2 linked regions of the Tamandua tetradactyla genome follow. The protein of the gene in region 1 purifies or fractionates together with the protein of each later gene. This does not show direct contact. Links are inferred from orthologs where the notes say so. Each region holds a gene or a part of one and is shown on either strand. Other genes may lie near its edges.

What was found. The genes of interacting proteins can lie anywhere in the genome.
Region 2: the proteins of KIF5B (region 1) and KLC1 purify together in Homo sapiens (co-immunoprecipitation; 11 studies listed by BioGRID and IntAct, counting the BioPlex papers as one, with this or other methods). This does not show direct contact. The link is inferred for Tamandua tetradactyla from reciprocal best matches to the Homo sapiens genes KIF5B and KLC1.

Annotation. Positions count from the first base shown.
Region 1 is NC_135327.1:219,148,110-219,155,665, reverse strand, and holds the start of KIF5B (kinesin-1 heavy chain), read right to left. Parts: upstream 3,011-7,556; 5' UTR 2,534-3,010; coding exon 2,408-2,533; intron 1-2,407. UniProt on the Homo sapiens protein: Microtubule-dependent motor required for normal distribution of mitochondria and lysosomes. Can induce formation of neurite-like membrane protrusions in non-neuronal cells in a ZFYVE27-dependent manner.
Region 2 is NC_135340.1:89,202,343-89,210,062, forward strand, and holds the start of KLC1 (kinesin light chain 1), read right to left. Parts: upstream 3,184-7,720; 5' UTR 3,059-3,183; intron 1-3,058. UniProt on the Homo sapiens protein: Kinesin is a microtubule-associated force-producing protein that may play a role in organelle transport. The light chain may function in coupling of cargo to the heavy chain or in the modulation of its ATPase activity.

The DNA of each region.
Region 1 (7,556 bases):
AAACCTGGAGAGGATTTTTGTTTAGAGATTTTTTAATTTCACCCTTCCCAGCTACCGTTATAATTCCAAACAAGCTTTTTTTAAAAAATAAAACAGTTCATTTAATAAAGTGAACAAAAATATGAGGCCTTGAATTAATGTACTTACTATATGCAAGAAATTAATTCTCGAAAATAATGAACTATGTTGCCTCACATTTTTCAAGGCTAGTCACTCAGTTGTATTTTTGCTTATACTATGTTGCTGTTCTTTTTTTTTTTAACCAGACTAAAATGCCTACCAGTTTATCTTAAGGTCAACTGTTATTAATTGATTCACAACTCAATCACCTATCCATTATTTCCAATATTATCATTTAAATTTATTAACATTTCCAAGGAGGTTACAACTTAACTTATTCCAAAGGAAACTACTTAGAATAGACATATGCTTCCCGTGGTAATTATTTGTTTCTTTTAGCTCTTTCCTCATTTTATATGTCATATTTGGGCTGCAGTAGAAGGTTGACTTCCAACCTATCCTTAATACAATTTATGAATTTTAAATTTTAGCATTCTAGCAAAAGAGTATTAGCAATGCTTACAGATACTGCATACTCAAAAAACCTGGAGAAATAAGACATTCTTAATACAAGCTTTAAAGGAAAATAGCTTTGATGTGTCAAACACTGTTGAAACTGGGAAATCACAAAAACTCTGAGAAACTAGACGCCTGATGTATGCCAACTAACAACCCAGGCCCTGCAAGCTTCCTCTGATTCCATGCAAAGAAGACAATTCTAAAGGAAAAGATGACTGATTTCTTTTGTACTTAACTTCTTGTCTTCCCAATGATGTCATTAATAGCAAGAGTTTTTCTTGTGGACTTGTTAACAAAGAAACAGCCTGACAGTCTTCACACAGTAAGAGTTGGCAGTTGTGTTAGTGATCTAATGACTTGTTTGCCAAAAGCCTACCAAGAGCAACGTGGAGCTAATGCGTGCATTTTCTAGAGCTGAATTTTGGGAGCCTTCACATAAAACCTCAAAGGAGTTATATGCTAATACTTACAATCATCAATATCCCATCTCCTGTGGCTTCTTTGCCCTCATTTCCAAATTAAGCTACCCAAACAACATAGTAAATACAGATGCCATTAGGGAAAAAAATCAACATGTTAAAAATTGGTACCACGAAAGCCACGCAGAAAAAAGTTCTGCCACATGCTATTACCAAGAAAGAAGAATCTTATTTTTGGCCACAGTTCACTATTCTGTATGCAGTATCTTACTATGCACGTTAACCTCCTTGAACTGGGAATGTTATTTTCAGAGACCTTTTGGTTATGAAAGACACACTTCTGGTAGGGATATGCCTTCCTCTAGAATTCTGACTAGCATTGTTTTCACGTCCTATGGGATTATACCATATTACATTTTCAGAAGCATAAAAATCAGGTATCAAAAAACAACCACCTCACATTCTGCTCCCCTTGACAATGATAAACCAATTCTAGTTAAGTTATGCTTTACCCTACAAAGGGACACTAGGTCAGCATCGTTGGGATTATCTAAATGAATTTTCTTCACCACGGATTCTAACTGTTAAGTATGACTCTAATACCAAGAATGAGAAATCTAGTTCACTGGTCAATTTCTATCTTTTTCAAAAGTTTGCTTCTTATAATTCTTTCTGATATACACCAAATAGTAAAGCTCTTTCCTAGATAATTATATCATAAAACCCAGTAAGGGGGAGATTTTGGATCCTTCTGGGCACTTATTTGACCGATCTGACTATTCTTTTTAGGTCTCGATTCGCCATTTGCTTTTGTTAATAAGAAAAGTCACTCATAACTCCAAAGGCTGGTGAGTGAACATCTGAGGTACAAGCATATTTGAATTATTTTGCTAATTTTTCTCCTCCCGAGACAGAAACAATACGGTTGAACATGCAGTTATATATTTCTATAAAACAAAGCCATCTCCTCTATTTAAGTTACAGTAGGGCTGGCCTCATAGTTCAATATTGCTAGCTGAACTACTTTCTCCTAAGTATTTTATGAATGGGGGTTGTCCAAAACAACAAGCACCACCAACAGTAACTACACACACACACCTAAACAAACGCAACTATGCACTAAACTTGCTCCCCGGATGGTTCCTCCAGCGCCCCGGGTGGGGGAGTGTCCCAGCCTGAGTCTAGGCACCTCCCATCACCGGGCACCGAAGACCAGGGTGGGGACGATTCAGAAAAACCCAGGCAGCTGCGCAGTCTTCCTATCAACGGTTATCTGAACCGGCAAACCCAAGTGGGGAGGGCTGGGACACCACTACTCCCTTCTCAACTCTGCACCTCGCCATTGCCCTGAACTCCCCGACCAGCCAGGTCCGATGACCAGGGACGGGCGGGAGGGGGGAACCACTCACCGCCATCATGACCGTGTCTTCTCCCTGAAACTTGGCGACGTACTTATCGCCGCGGTTCACTTCAGACTCGTTGAGAGGTCTGAAGCGACACATCACTTTGATGTTGCACTCGGCCGGGTCCGCCATCTTCCTCGCCGCCGGGTCTGGAGGCCGGGAGCCACTCCCCGCTGCTTAGTCTTGGAGAAAGCAAGCACGAGCTGATGAGGTTCTGGTCTCCGGGGAGCGCCAGCGAGCCCGGGTCGCGGGGGTACGGAGATTCCGCAGACGCCGCGCCGCGCGTCCCCGGGCGGGGCAGCCGGGGAGCGGAGACTGGAAGCGCCGGCGCCGGCAGCCGTCGGCCTGAGGCTCACTTCCGATCCATCATGGCAGCCATGGCGGCGGCACTCGGCAGAGCGTCCCGCAGCTCCCCAACTTCTCCCTTGTCGGCCGGGGCAGACTGCGGGACCTCCGGGAATTCTGAAGACCCAGAATGCCGCCCCCTCCTTCCTCCTCGAGAAAGAGCCCGCCGGGTTGACCTGTCTGCCCTCCCGGTAGTGCGCTCGCCGGCTTGCGGGAGACCGCCTGATCCGACAGTCTCCAGGGCGCAGGCGCAGGCGCGGCGACCGGGCGGCGGGGAGCTGAGGGGAGCTAGGGGGTGCGGCGGCCAGCGGGGGAGGGCAGCTCAGGGCGGGGCGGGGACGGCGCAGGCGCAGGCGCGGCGGGGCCGAGGCACTCGGGCGACCAATCAGCCGGCACCTCCCGCGACCGTTCCTCGGTGAGGAGCTGCAAATTCAAGTTTCTCGGAATGCTACCTTGAAAGACCGCGTTTGGATACTCCCCGCCGCCTGCCACTGATATTCCCCAGCGCTTTCTTTTCTTTGTCGGGGGTTGGGAGTTGTTTAAACAGTTCGTGTAGTATGTTTTAATAAAATGCTATATTCCTAAAAGGAAGCGCTTGCTTTAGTTTTGTTCTGGAGGAGAAATTGATTCCTAGCCCAACTTTTTTAGAACGGCTGCTCAGACAAAGGAAGAGGATTTGGATGAAGAGTGGAACATGGCTTTCTCTTTAAGAGGTTGCTCCTTCCTGACAGTCGGCTGGGGAGACCAGAATAAAAAAGGAAAAAGAAATTCCCTCTAGGGAAGCGAGAAAGAAAGTTGCTGAAGAAATACGGAACACTAGGGTGAGGTGTGTGAGGCCATCGGTGAATCGGAGGGTTCCACTTCGCTGATAATAAATTTTAAGACATTATCAATCCCAACATCTGAGAAACGACTGAGCTGGAGTTAGCAGAAAGATGTTCTTAAAAGGCTCAGGTAAACGTGTGTATTGCAAGTCTGAGGAGCACCCCGCCACGGTTGATTTCGCTTCCTCTTTTTGGAAGGATGTCATAGAGGATATATAGCTTCATGTGTAAATGACTGAGGCTCTGGGGAAGGAGAACTGAAAAGACAGTTAGGAACTCTTTTTCGGTCTCCAGTTTTTGTTTGTAAAATGAAGGCTTGGAATGAAAACCTCCAGTGTGCCTTCCTGGCCCAATCATCCTAGTACCACCGAAGATTAACCCACAGCCCCAAAAGATTCAGGTTTTTGAACTCGTTGCAATGAGGAAAAACTCACACCTGGGAGGAACCCTAGGGCATCTCACCAAACAAAGGAAAAGATGGAGTTATCACGGGATTAGGGAGATGTATGGAGTTTATGTAAAATTTAGATGAAACACTGTTTTGAGAAGCACAAAGCGCAGCACACCTGTGTGAGTCAAGGGGTCAGTACCGGGACTGGACCGGCTGTGTGAGTCAAGGGGTCAGTACCGGGACTGGACCGGCTGTGTGAGTCAAGGGGTCAGTACCGGGACTGGACCGCCAAGTGGACCCAGGGTCCTGTTCCTTTAGAAATTATAAAGGTGAGAGACATGGAATGTAGTCTTCAGAGACCCCTTCTCCAAAGCTCTGCACCTGGCTTGGAATTTGAGGCTTCTTTTCTATGTCTTCAGTCCTCCAGGTGACACTGGGATGTTTCATTCTTAATGCTATAATCTCTAACAGCAATTTCTGATAGTCTGATTTTAGAGATCAAAGTTTCTCAGTAAGAAAGCAAAAGTCACTCAAAGAATGGGATCATTGTGACTCTTTACAGATGCAACATGTCCTTGGGAGAAATACTATTTCTTGTTAACTTTGCAGCTGGCTTTATGTGTATTTGTTAGTCCAGTCTGGTGAATGACAGATTTTTACTCCAGGGATGACAGTGCTTTCCTTCCCTAAGACTAATTTTTCATCTGCATTTTCCAACTTCATCTACTCTCTGGATCCTATTAATGGTCCCCATCTTCTAACAACTTTGATTTCTCCCTTTTCTCAACCTCTCTAAAGGGGTGTGTGTGGGGGGGGGGGGAGAAAACAAATATGTTTATTCTCCCCGTCTGTAAAACAACAACAAAATCTAACACTTTTGGTGTCTGTTGTTTTTAATCTTTTTTGCTGCCATTAAGTAGGTGAAGTTTATTAGAAGGGACCGTGTTCACCTGGACAGCCGCTCCTTCATCTAAAGGAGGCAGTGGGGACTCAACTTCCTCCATGGGCAAGATAGGCTAACACTGTCAAGTCTTCCTATTTTCAAGAAAAGCCATAACCCAGATTTTGTGAAAACTCCCAGTTCTTAAATAAATTGCCCATTTATTTAAAAATAATTTAAATAATGTGTACGCTAGGTAAAACATTCCTGCAGGCTGTAGATGTCAGATGGGCCACCAACTTTCAGCCACACTGCAGCAGAATTTCTTGAAGGCTTTGTCCTCTGCCCACTGCTCTTCTCTATGAGCTCACTTCAACAGTTGTCAAATCTGTGTCAATCCCAGCTTTTCACTTGTGTGACATTTCCATCTCCAGTTGCCTAGAGGCCACCTTGTTTAGAATGCTCTATCATAATCTCAAAATTAACTCTGCAGAAATAAAATTAATTATCCTCTGCTCCCTGCCAATATTTAATTCAACTATTCAGCTTTCCAGTTGTGATGATGAGTATCATCATCTTCCATACTCCCAGGCTAGAAAAGTTATAATCACCTCTTAACTCTGTTTCCTTCATGCCCTACAATCCAGAAAAGAAGCACAGTCACCCATATCTGAAGTTCCTCAACTTTTACTCCATCCTTCCCCTTTATAACCAGTTCAGAAGATATGAGGAATGATTGATTTAGAGTAGTGATTTTTAGACACCACTCCATGGATCCCTAGAGATTCCAAAGAAGTGAGTTAGGAGACTTCCTGGTTGTGGGAAGGGAAAGGAATGGTGAAAGGGCCAAGGAATGAAGTTCTAAGAACCTCTGCTCCTCATGGTATTGACCAACTTCTGTTGCCTTTCAAATCTTGACACTTCCTTCCCCTTTCCCAACAGATTCTGGAAGCTCAGGCTTTATGAAAACAAAAGCCAAAAAGGGAAGTGTCTGCAAGAGCCTTCTGTTTTCAGTCCTGAAACAGATACTTTTCAGCAAGGAAAAACAAAGATCTTGAGTGTCATCACTGAACCAGGGCAGAGAAAAACACTATGTGAAAAGCACAGATACAAAAATTATTCTGTCGTGCTAATAAAGAATAGCGGTACTAGGCAAAAACAGCTTTAAGAAATATTTTGTTAGGGGACCAAAAGATTGATAAAAAACTGGTTAATCCCAGTTTTCTTCCAAGTATAAAAAATGTTTTCATTATTCAGCCTTAGCAGTGGAACAGTAGATTTCTTTAAGAGTCCATTGAGACTCATTAATATAACTTTTCCTGGTGAAGATGTGAGTGGTACTTTCACCTGCACACAGTTAGAATATTAAATATCTGCTGTGGAAGAATCTCCAAAGATGATCCTCCAATGAACCAGGCCTACATGAATTCACAACTTTGTGTAGTCCCTCTCCTTTAATCTGGACCGGCCCTGTGATTCAGTAAATGTGGCCAAAGCGTGATATCTCATGACATCTGACAGTAGGTGAGAAGAAGCTTCAGAGCTTCTGCCTTGGTCTCTTCAAACAGTCTTTCTGGGAACTCTGAACTGCCATGTAACAAAAACAACTTCCCTGAGAACATCATGCTGGAGAGGCCATATGTAGTCATTCCAGTCAACAGAGCCAGCAGACCACAGCCTTACAGCCATCCCCACCTAGGTGCCAGGCATGGGAATGAAGCCATCTTGAACTGTCCAGACCAGCACATCCACGAGTTGAATACCACTGAGTAATCTCAGTTTATACCCCTTGAAGCAAATTCCTTACCCATTAAAATCCTGAGATATAATTAAAAAGTTAGTGCCTTAAGCTGCTCAGTTTTGAATAACTTGTTACATAGCAGTAAATAACTGAAATAATACCTTCCAATTTGGAATCCTGGAAATAATTCTATAAAATGTTACTTATGTATCATAGATATACTTAGATTGGACTATATTTTGTATTAATTTTAAATTAAGTAGTTGAAGGGAACCTAAGAACATAACCACTGTTTGTATCATTGTTAATATAAGAAAATTTCTTTTATAATTTCAGATGAAGTGACTTATTAAAAAATGGGCTTTCCCCAGTCTTGGGGTTTGTTCATATGAAACTTAACCCCACAGGGGTCAAGCCTACATAAAATTAGGCCTAAGAGTCACCCCTAGGAGAACCTCTTTTGTTGCTCAGATGTGGCCTCTCTCTCCAGCCAACACAGCAAGTAAACTCACCACCCTCCCCCTGTCTACGTGGGACATGACTCCCACAGGTGTGGCTCTTCCTGGCAACGTGGGACAGAAATCCCAGAATGAGCTGAGATTCAGCATCAAGGGATTAAGAAAAACCCTAGAATGAGCTGAAACTTTGCATCAACCTAGAAAAAGAAATAAAAAAGAAAAAGAAAAAAACTCATACATAATACATACCATACCCCATACCCCTCCCTCTCATTGACCACCAATATTTCCATCTACCCAATAAATTTTAGCCTCTGCTTCCCCTATTTTTTTCTATACCCCTTACCACTCCCTTTCATTGCTCACTAGCATTTCAATCTACTAAATTTATTTTAACATTTGTTACCCCATTATTTATTTATTTTTAATCCATATGTTTTACTCATCTGTCCATACTGTAGATAAAAGAAGTATCAGACGCAAGATTTTCACAATCACACAGTCACATTGTGAAAG
Region 2 (7,720 bases), on another chromosome or scaffold:
ATAAATAAATGAAAAGCCATGGGCGGGCCACGTTGGCTCAGCAGGCAAGGATGCTTGTCTGCCATGCCAGAGGACCCGGGTTCAATTCCCAGTGCCTGCCCATGTAAAAAATAAAAATAAATAAAAGAATGTAAATGGGGGAAACAGCAACAAACAAAATAAAACAATTAAGTAAAATAATACTGTATTTTAGACAGCGATAACTGCTAAGGTGAAAGATAAAGTAGGGCAGGGTTTCAGTAACGTGGAGGGAAGGTGCAGGCTGCCACACTTCCAGAGTCCCGACTACGCCTGCGTGCTGGTGAGGGCAGCAGGGGCAAGAGGTGGGGGGTGAGGGCTGTGGGACAGCAGCAAGAACTCCAGCAGAGGACCATACGGTCTGACTCACATTTTAACAGTACCACTCCAGCTTTGCTCCCTGGATTCCTCCACTCCCAATCTTCCCCACCCCATTCCTGCCAGTGCCCCCACCATCACCCCATTGCAAGTCACCAAATCAGATCCCCTCTAGCCGTTAGTTAAACCCTTCTAATCCCACCATTCCTCTTGGTTCCCACCGCGAGAGTTTGCGCTCACCTGGACTCCTGCCAATAACTCCCAAACTAGTCTCCATCCTTCCATCTCTGTTCAAACCACCTACCACACCACTGTCTGCACCCGCTAATCAACTAGTACCTCCAGACCTCCTTAAGCCCCTCAGGAAGAGACCAGCCTCCTGTACAACCAAGACACCTTCCATAAGCTCATCTTTCCATTCTTACCCTTCAGCCCTTCCTAACATTTCCCCCTTACTGGAGGAAGACTTCACTCTCTGCACAGAACCAGCTCCCACCCATCGTGACTCAGATCAGGAGTCACCTCCTCTAGACCCTGCCTTCCCTGGTCCCCACCCCTTCTCAGCACACTCATCACATAATCTACCCTCACCTACGATGCCTAGCTGTTTAATTCTGGGTCTCCCTCACCCCACCCACCCAGACTAGAATTTCCTAGAGAATGACTCTCTTTTATCGCCATATCTGCAACTGCATGGCACAGAATCTAGCATTTAGGGAGTTTGGTCCTCAATAGACATTTGACGGTGGGTTTTTAAAACACCATGCTTTCATGATCTGAATTTGCTTACCATTTTTATTCTATTCCCTGCAGTGTGGTACTTAAAATTTTCCTTTACTCTTGTTTAAGATACACTACTCAATTATCTTTGTTATATAAAATACTGGTTTATCATACCACTTACTTGGTGACATATCTACTAAAAATGCTCCCAGATTCATTTTGTTCAATTTTTGGCTTTTTCTATTTCTAGTTTTCTTTTTACAGAATTATGTAACATGCTTAAACAGTTTTCAGACCTATATGGAAAGCTACATGTTGGCTTTTTAGACAACATTATGAAACATAAGGAAGAATATGTAATTTTAAAAATTGCAGTTAGTTTTTATTTATTGTGAAACACTGAAAACACTGTGCATCTTTCAGAGGACATTTCCTTCCTCCCTGCTAGCCTCCTTGGATCTGATCACTGTCCTCAATCCCCCATATTTTTTAATATGCCCCCTATGTATTGCCTAGTGTTTTTATAAGCAAACACTGCCAAGAAAAGTAACCCTGGGTCCAGTGAGGCTTCCACCCTGGCCTTCCAGAGTACTGGGCAAGGAGCACTACCAGCACCAGGGGTCAATATGACAGTGCATTCCTTGATGACTTGGGGAAAATTGTTTCTACCCTCCCATAAATAATTTCCCACAACCTGAACATTTTAGTAGTTAACGCCAGTGTATTCTTAAAAATACTTAGGAAACAACAATGAGTCAAATTTCCCTCTATGACAGGCTTGTTGCCAACCTGATTCAATTATGAGACTCAATGAGGTTGTTCCAATTTCCTAATGGGTTTTTCACTCAACTATTACAACTTATTGCCAGCTACTTGTTTTGATCAATGGCTCAGTTATGTTATACAAAACAAAGAACCAACCAACCAAACAAAAACTATGGAATTTAACTAATGCAAAGAACCAAATACCCAACTGCCCTTTCACACAGCAATTTAAATAGCATGTATCTTCACTTTTCCGTTGTTCTCATGCTTTTTAAAACACCACTTTTGCAAGTACTCCTTACCACACGCTGAAGATTCAACAACTCAAAGATAGAAAATACCTGGAAAAGACTTACAAATCTTAAGTTATAAAACCATGCAGTCCACCACGCACTGATTTTAGCTTTTAAATGCTTTATTTAATTTTAATTTTTTTTTTCAAGACAAGAGGGACGCCAAATTTTATAACCGAAAAAGTATTTCAAGACTGAAAAAAAAAGTGCTCCACGACGGAGGCTGCAGCATGCTAGGTGCAGCAAGGCCACTCTGAGTTAAGCCCGCGCACAGAATCTTTTCCCATCGGGTTATTAAAAGAAAGGGGCAGGCGACGCTGGACCTCTGCTGAACCCGGCCCCGGATGGAGGCCCGGGCGGCTCCAGTCGCCGACGAGGATGACAGGCGCGTCCGCCCAGGGCGGTGCCCGGGAGAGGGCGGGGGCGGAAGGAAGGAGGAGGATTCGGACAAAGCAGACCCCGGGCGGCGGCACTCCTCCCCACTAGCCCCGTCCCCGGGGCCGGCCACCACCCCGTCGCGGCGACTCCCGCGACCCGCAGCGGTCCCCGGGAACTACCGCCCCCGCCCGCCGCAGGGCCGAGCCCGGCGTGAGGGAAGGGGGGATGCGGGGGCGGGGGATGTTGGGCCCGGGATGCGGAGTGCCGGGCGGGGAATGCGGAGCCGGGAACAAGGGTGAGGATGGACACTGGGAACGGACCGGTGCGAGACAGGGAGCCGGGCAGGGGTACAGAGGAGTGGCCGGGAACCGGGAAAGGTTACCGGGCAGGAGCCAGGAGAAGCACCGAAAGGAGACCCGGGAGGAGCCGGGGACCGGGGCTGTTGTCGGGAAGACCCGGACGGGCATCGAACCCGGACGGAACCGAGACCTGGCCGGGGACCGAGGAGACGGCCGGGGCCAGGAAGGTGACAGGCCGGCGACCATGCCGCGGCCCTCACTCACCGTCCTGCTCCTGCGGGGGCCGCGCTCGCCACGCGCTGACAGGACGTGGAGGGCACGGGCCGCCGACGGGCCGCCCGCCGCGCGCAGAGAAGCTCGGTGTCTCAGGCGCGGCGCCGCGGTCACGAGCGAGAGGTGCTGACCCGGCCGCCGACCCGCAGCATCCTCGGCCGGCCGCCGCGCTGTCCCTCTCGGTCGCCGAGCGCAAGCACGAGGCTCCTCTCCTCGCGGCTCCTCTCCTTGCAGCCGCCGCCGCCGAAAGGCGCTCAGAGCTCCGCAGCCGGCACCGCTTCCGCCGCCGAAAATGGCGCCGAGCCCCTCCCCCGCGCCCCGCCCCACCCCACAATGCCGCGCGGCGCCCCTGTCATGACGTCACGGGCCCCCGCCGCCTGCGCGCGGGGAGACTGAGGCCCGGGAAGGCGTGCCTTTGATGGTCCCTGGCGGTCGGAGCGGAGCCCGTGGGGCTTCGTTCACACTGGGCCGGGACGTGGCGAGGCGTGCGAGGGCGCCGTCCGTGGGCTGCTCGCTGCCGCTCCGCCCGACGCGCTCGGCAGGGCGGCAGAGGAAAATCCGACTCTTCCCCTGCCGGTCAACGCCGCGCCCCCGGCCTCTTCCCACCCGAGGCCCGGCCCCTTTCAGCCTCATACATCGGGAGTGATATTCACTGACAGGCGCTCCTTGTGGCAAGCCCGGGTCGGAAGCCGTATTTGCTCCTTGAAATCGTACCTTGCCCCCTGCAAGGAGGCTTTCTGAGCTCCCTCTGAAGGAAGGGTTCCTGCAAGGCTTGGCCAGACCCTGGGTACGTTCGGGGTCTTAACAGCCGGGCCCCTAAAGGCCCAGGCCCTTGCGCCCGCCTCATCTCCCATTTCCCCTCCCTTGCCGCCAGGGCCCTGGATCCTCAAGAGTGTGAGCTTAGAGGGACTTTCCAGGCCCTCCTTCAAAGCCTACAAAGGCCTCACCCACACTGCACTTGGGGCTGGGAATAGGGGAAAGGGCAGGGTGCTGAACCAGCTACTGCCTGGCAAGAGAAGAGAAGCCCACGCTCTGCTGTCGCAGCCACTGGCAGCATCGCACACCCCTGCTGCAGTGCCTGGACCTCCAGGCCCCTGCAGGGCGGAACTTCCAGGTCAGGGAGGGCCCCGTGTATCCTGCTGCATTGCCAGCTCTGCAGGTCTGACTCAGCAGCCCAGCAACCGGCCTGGAGGCCGGGAGGACGGTGCTGATTCAGGGGGCAAGGCTCAGCTTTCGTTGCCTGCCACCAGCTTGGGAGAATCCTCCAGGTGCCTGAAATATCCCTGTGGCTTTAGGAAGCAGGAGGGCTTCCTGTGTCCGCCTGCATACCCCCCCCCCATTCTGTACTCCTTTCCTGGTGCCTGTCCTCTTCAGATGCTATCCCTATTTTAACCCTGCAGTTACGGGTCACCAGGGAAGTGAGTCTCCTAGGTTTTTCCAGGGAGGTCCAGTTATGTTGAAATATTGAAATATTTACAAATGCTAAGAAAGGGGGAGCACCTATGGTGACACAGCTGTTACAGAGCCCAAGAGTGAGACAGTGAATCGGACGGAGTCAAGTCCCTCCACTGGCCAAATCGCGCCTGGTTGTCACCGGCCTTAACTTGCCTGCTTCTCAGCCACTGCTGTAGGCCCAGGCCCAGCAACTGCAGGCAGGGGACCTGTGAGCATCCACTCTCTCCTGCGTAACAGGCTGAGCAGAGGCTCATTTATCTTTCTGTGCCTCTAGGCTCAATAAGTGGCATTTCCAAGCACCCATCACCCAAGCAAGAAACCTGGGGCCCTTATGCCCCACTTCTGAGGGGTGGCAAGATCCCACCTCAGTATTTATTTAACTCATCTCTTCCCGGTTCCCTTCACTGCCACAGGTGCAGGCTTTGTTATCTCATTCATTTATTCCTTAAGCAAATATTTCTTGAGCTCTTTTGATTCCCACTAAAAGAGCCAAGAATGTGTTGGTGAGCAGGGTAGAGAAGATTCCGGTTCTGCAGCAGTCTACATTCCAGTGAGAAGAGACAGATGGACAAACACATGAAGTGGGGAATATCTGAGCATGCCGTGCCATGATCAGGGTGAACATAAAATGATATGTACAACAGACATGGCTCAGAGACCACGCTGGGCAAGCAGTGAGGGATGGGCTCGGAGTTAGGGCAAGAAAGCTGAGACAAGCAAGGAAGAGACCAGGCAGCACAAAGGTGCAGGGCAAGAGTGCTCTAGCAAAGGTGCTCAGGCCAGAATGAGCTTGGAGGGTTGGGGACAGAACTGAAAGCTGGGTTCATCTACCCCACCCTAACATGTGAATCTAGTGATGTGACTTGAAGTGTTGTGATGCATCCACCCCTCTCAGGGCCAAGTTGAAACTCCTTAACTTCATCTGGAAGACCCACAGGACCCGGTCCTCTTGCCCCTAACACCCTCACCCATGCCCAAGCTCACCTGTTCCCTCCCATGGTCACACCCTGGATTTAAGTGTCCATTCTGCCCAGAATGCACCCCCTGCCCCCTTGTCCTGGCTCTCCTTCAAGATCAGCCAAGAGGTATTTCCTCCAAGAAGACTTCCTCTAAGCTCCCACCTTCCCTAGACTTCCCCCTATGCTCCTTTCCTTCACTATGTGGGCAGGTTACACAGCTGACACCCCCCTCTGATAGTGAGCCCCAGAGCTGGAGGCAACTGGACCCCCTCCTCACCCCCCCCACTGTGAGGGTGAAAAGAGAAAGGAAGGTCAGGGATGGCCTCCTCCAGGTCCTCTTTGCACGGAGCTCCCCTTTGGTGGAGCAGACACTTGAGGCACTCTGACCCCTGGAACTAAGGCCCATCCTCAAGAATTCCCATTCTCCCTTTGGCCAAGCCTTAAAGGGAACCATTAGCAGCCAGAGCTGCCACCCTCCACCCCTCAGCCTCCCTGGAGAGAAATCTGCCTGTCCTCAAAAAGACATGGGTGCTCTGCCTGAAGGCTGCAGGTCTGGTGACTCCGCAGTTACCCTGGGGGTGGTCTCAGGATCTGCCTGGCTGCCCGCTGGAGGGCAGGAGGGAAGGAGGGCAGGGCTGTCCAGGCAGAGGGTCGTGCCCGCCTTCCCTTCACTGCCCTCAGCATCCTCACTCCACTCGCTCTGCAAATTCTGTGATTTCTTGCTGCCTCCAGGAAAGGAATGGCTCCTCAGGTTCCAGAATCAAAACAGGGCCTTGTGCTCCAGATGCAGGCCCAGCCAAGTCATCATCAGTGTCTGGTGGGAACCTGGAAGCGGGGAAGGCCTTGGGGCTACTTCAGAGTCAGCAAACCAATTGCCTGTTCTTCCCCTAAACCAGGAGGTGCAGAGGGCCGTGGGAGCATAAGTGGCTGGGGGGGAGTCCCAGGGTGGACCAGAAATGCCTGTTTGCACAAGTCCTGGCTGTCTCTGAACACCTCTGAGGCCCCCAGGCTGTGGGGGATTAGCCAGCGGCTCTTCAGCACGCAGGGTGCCTGCACACCCTGAAAAGGGGGCCCCCGCCTGCCTCAGCCCCCTCCTCCCATCTCTTCTCTGCTTCCCTCTCTCCAAGGCTTCGTCCTCGGCCCTCCTCTGTTTTCTTCTCCTCCTAAGCCAGCCCCAGCTCCCCCACTGCTGTGCTCCCACACTGGAGAGAGTCACAGGCAGCATGGAAATCTGGCCAGGCTGGGGCAGAAGCGACACCCTTGGAGGCAGCCGCTAGGGCCCAGCAGACCCCAGGGCTGAAGTCCCTGTTGCAGGGGCAGTGAAAACGTCCAGCTGGGTCCCGTGAGGGCGCAGATAGCGACCTCTTGGAGTTTGTCAGGCCGGAGGCCTCACAGATAATCGGGGAGCATGCCACCCCGTATTCGTTCTGTCCCCATTGTTGACTGAGGACTGCATGTGTGAGGCACCCCGGGCCTGGGACACACAGTGGAGGAGGGACACTCGCTGGGCAGGTGGGCAGGCCCCACAGGTGAAGGTCAGGGGGAGGGCGCCGGGCCAGATGGGTGCTGAGCCAGGCAGTAATTGTCTTGGGGAAACCTGGGTTGGCGGGGGAAAGGGGGTGTCTGTTCTTTTAGCATTGATCATTTTCCTGTAAACTCTGGATTTCTGTCTCCCAGGACAGCCAGGAGCCCCTTTAGGGCAGGCAGGGGTTCTGGGTTCATCTTTGCTCCTGAGAACCCTGCACTGGTAGGCATCATCCTCAGTGAATTTAAGGGAAAGGGGGAGGGGGAGGAAAGAAAGGAGGAGAGAGAGAGGGAGGGGGAGAAGAGAACCCAAGAAGAGAGGAGGAAGGGCAGCAGCAGGGCGCGGGGAGCAGTCCTGGAGCGCGGTCTGCGGTCTGCAGGGCTCAGGCTTGGGGACGGGGCACGGGTGGGGCCTGGCCGGCATCCTGCCCACCGGGGTAGCCAAGGGGCCCGGGGCCAGTTCAGGCTCTGACCTGCTGCACTCTCTGGGTCTCTGGCTTTATGGTCTAAAGATGGATTTTATCAGATTTCCAGGTTCCTCTTGCGTGCCAGCTGCCAGGCGGAAAGTTCCAGTAACTGTTTCCTTCAGAACAAGGGGAACACCAGAACACACTCCCACTTTGGGTGGAAAGAGATGGCATGAAGGGGTGCGGTGGCCCACCCCACCCCTCTCGCTGGCCCTCTGGCCCTTTCTGTCTTTCACACACACGCACAC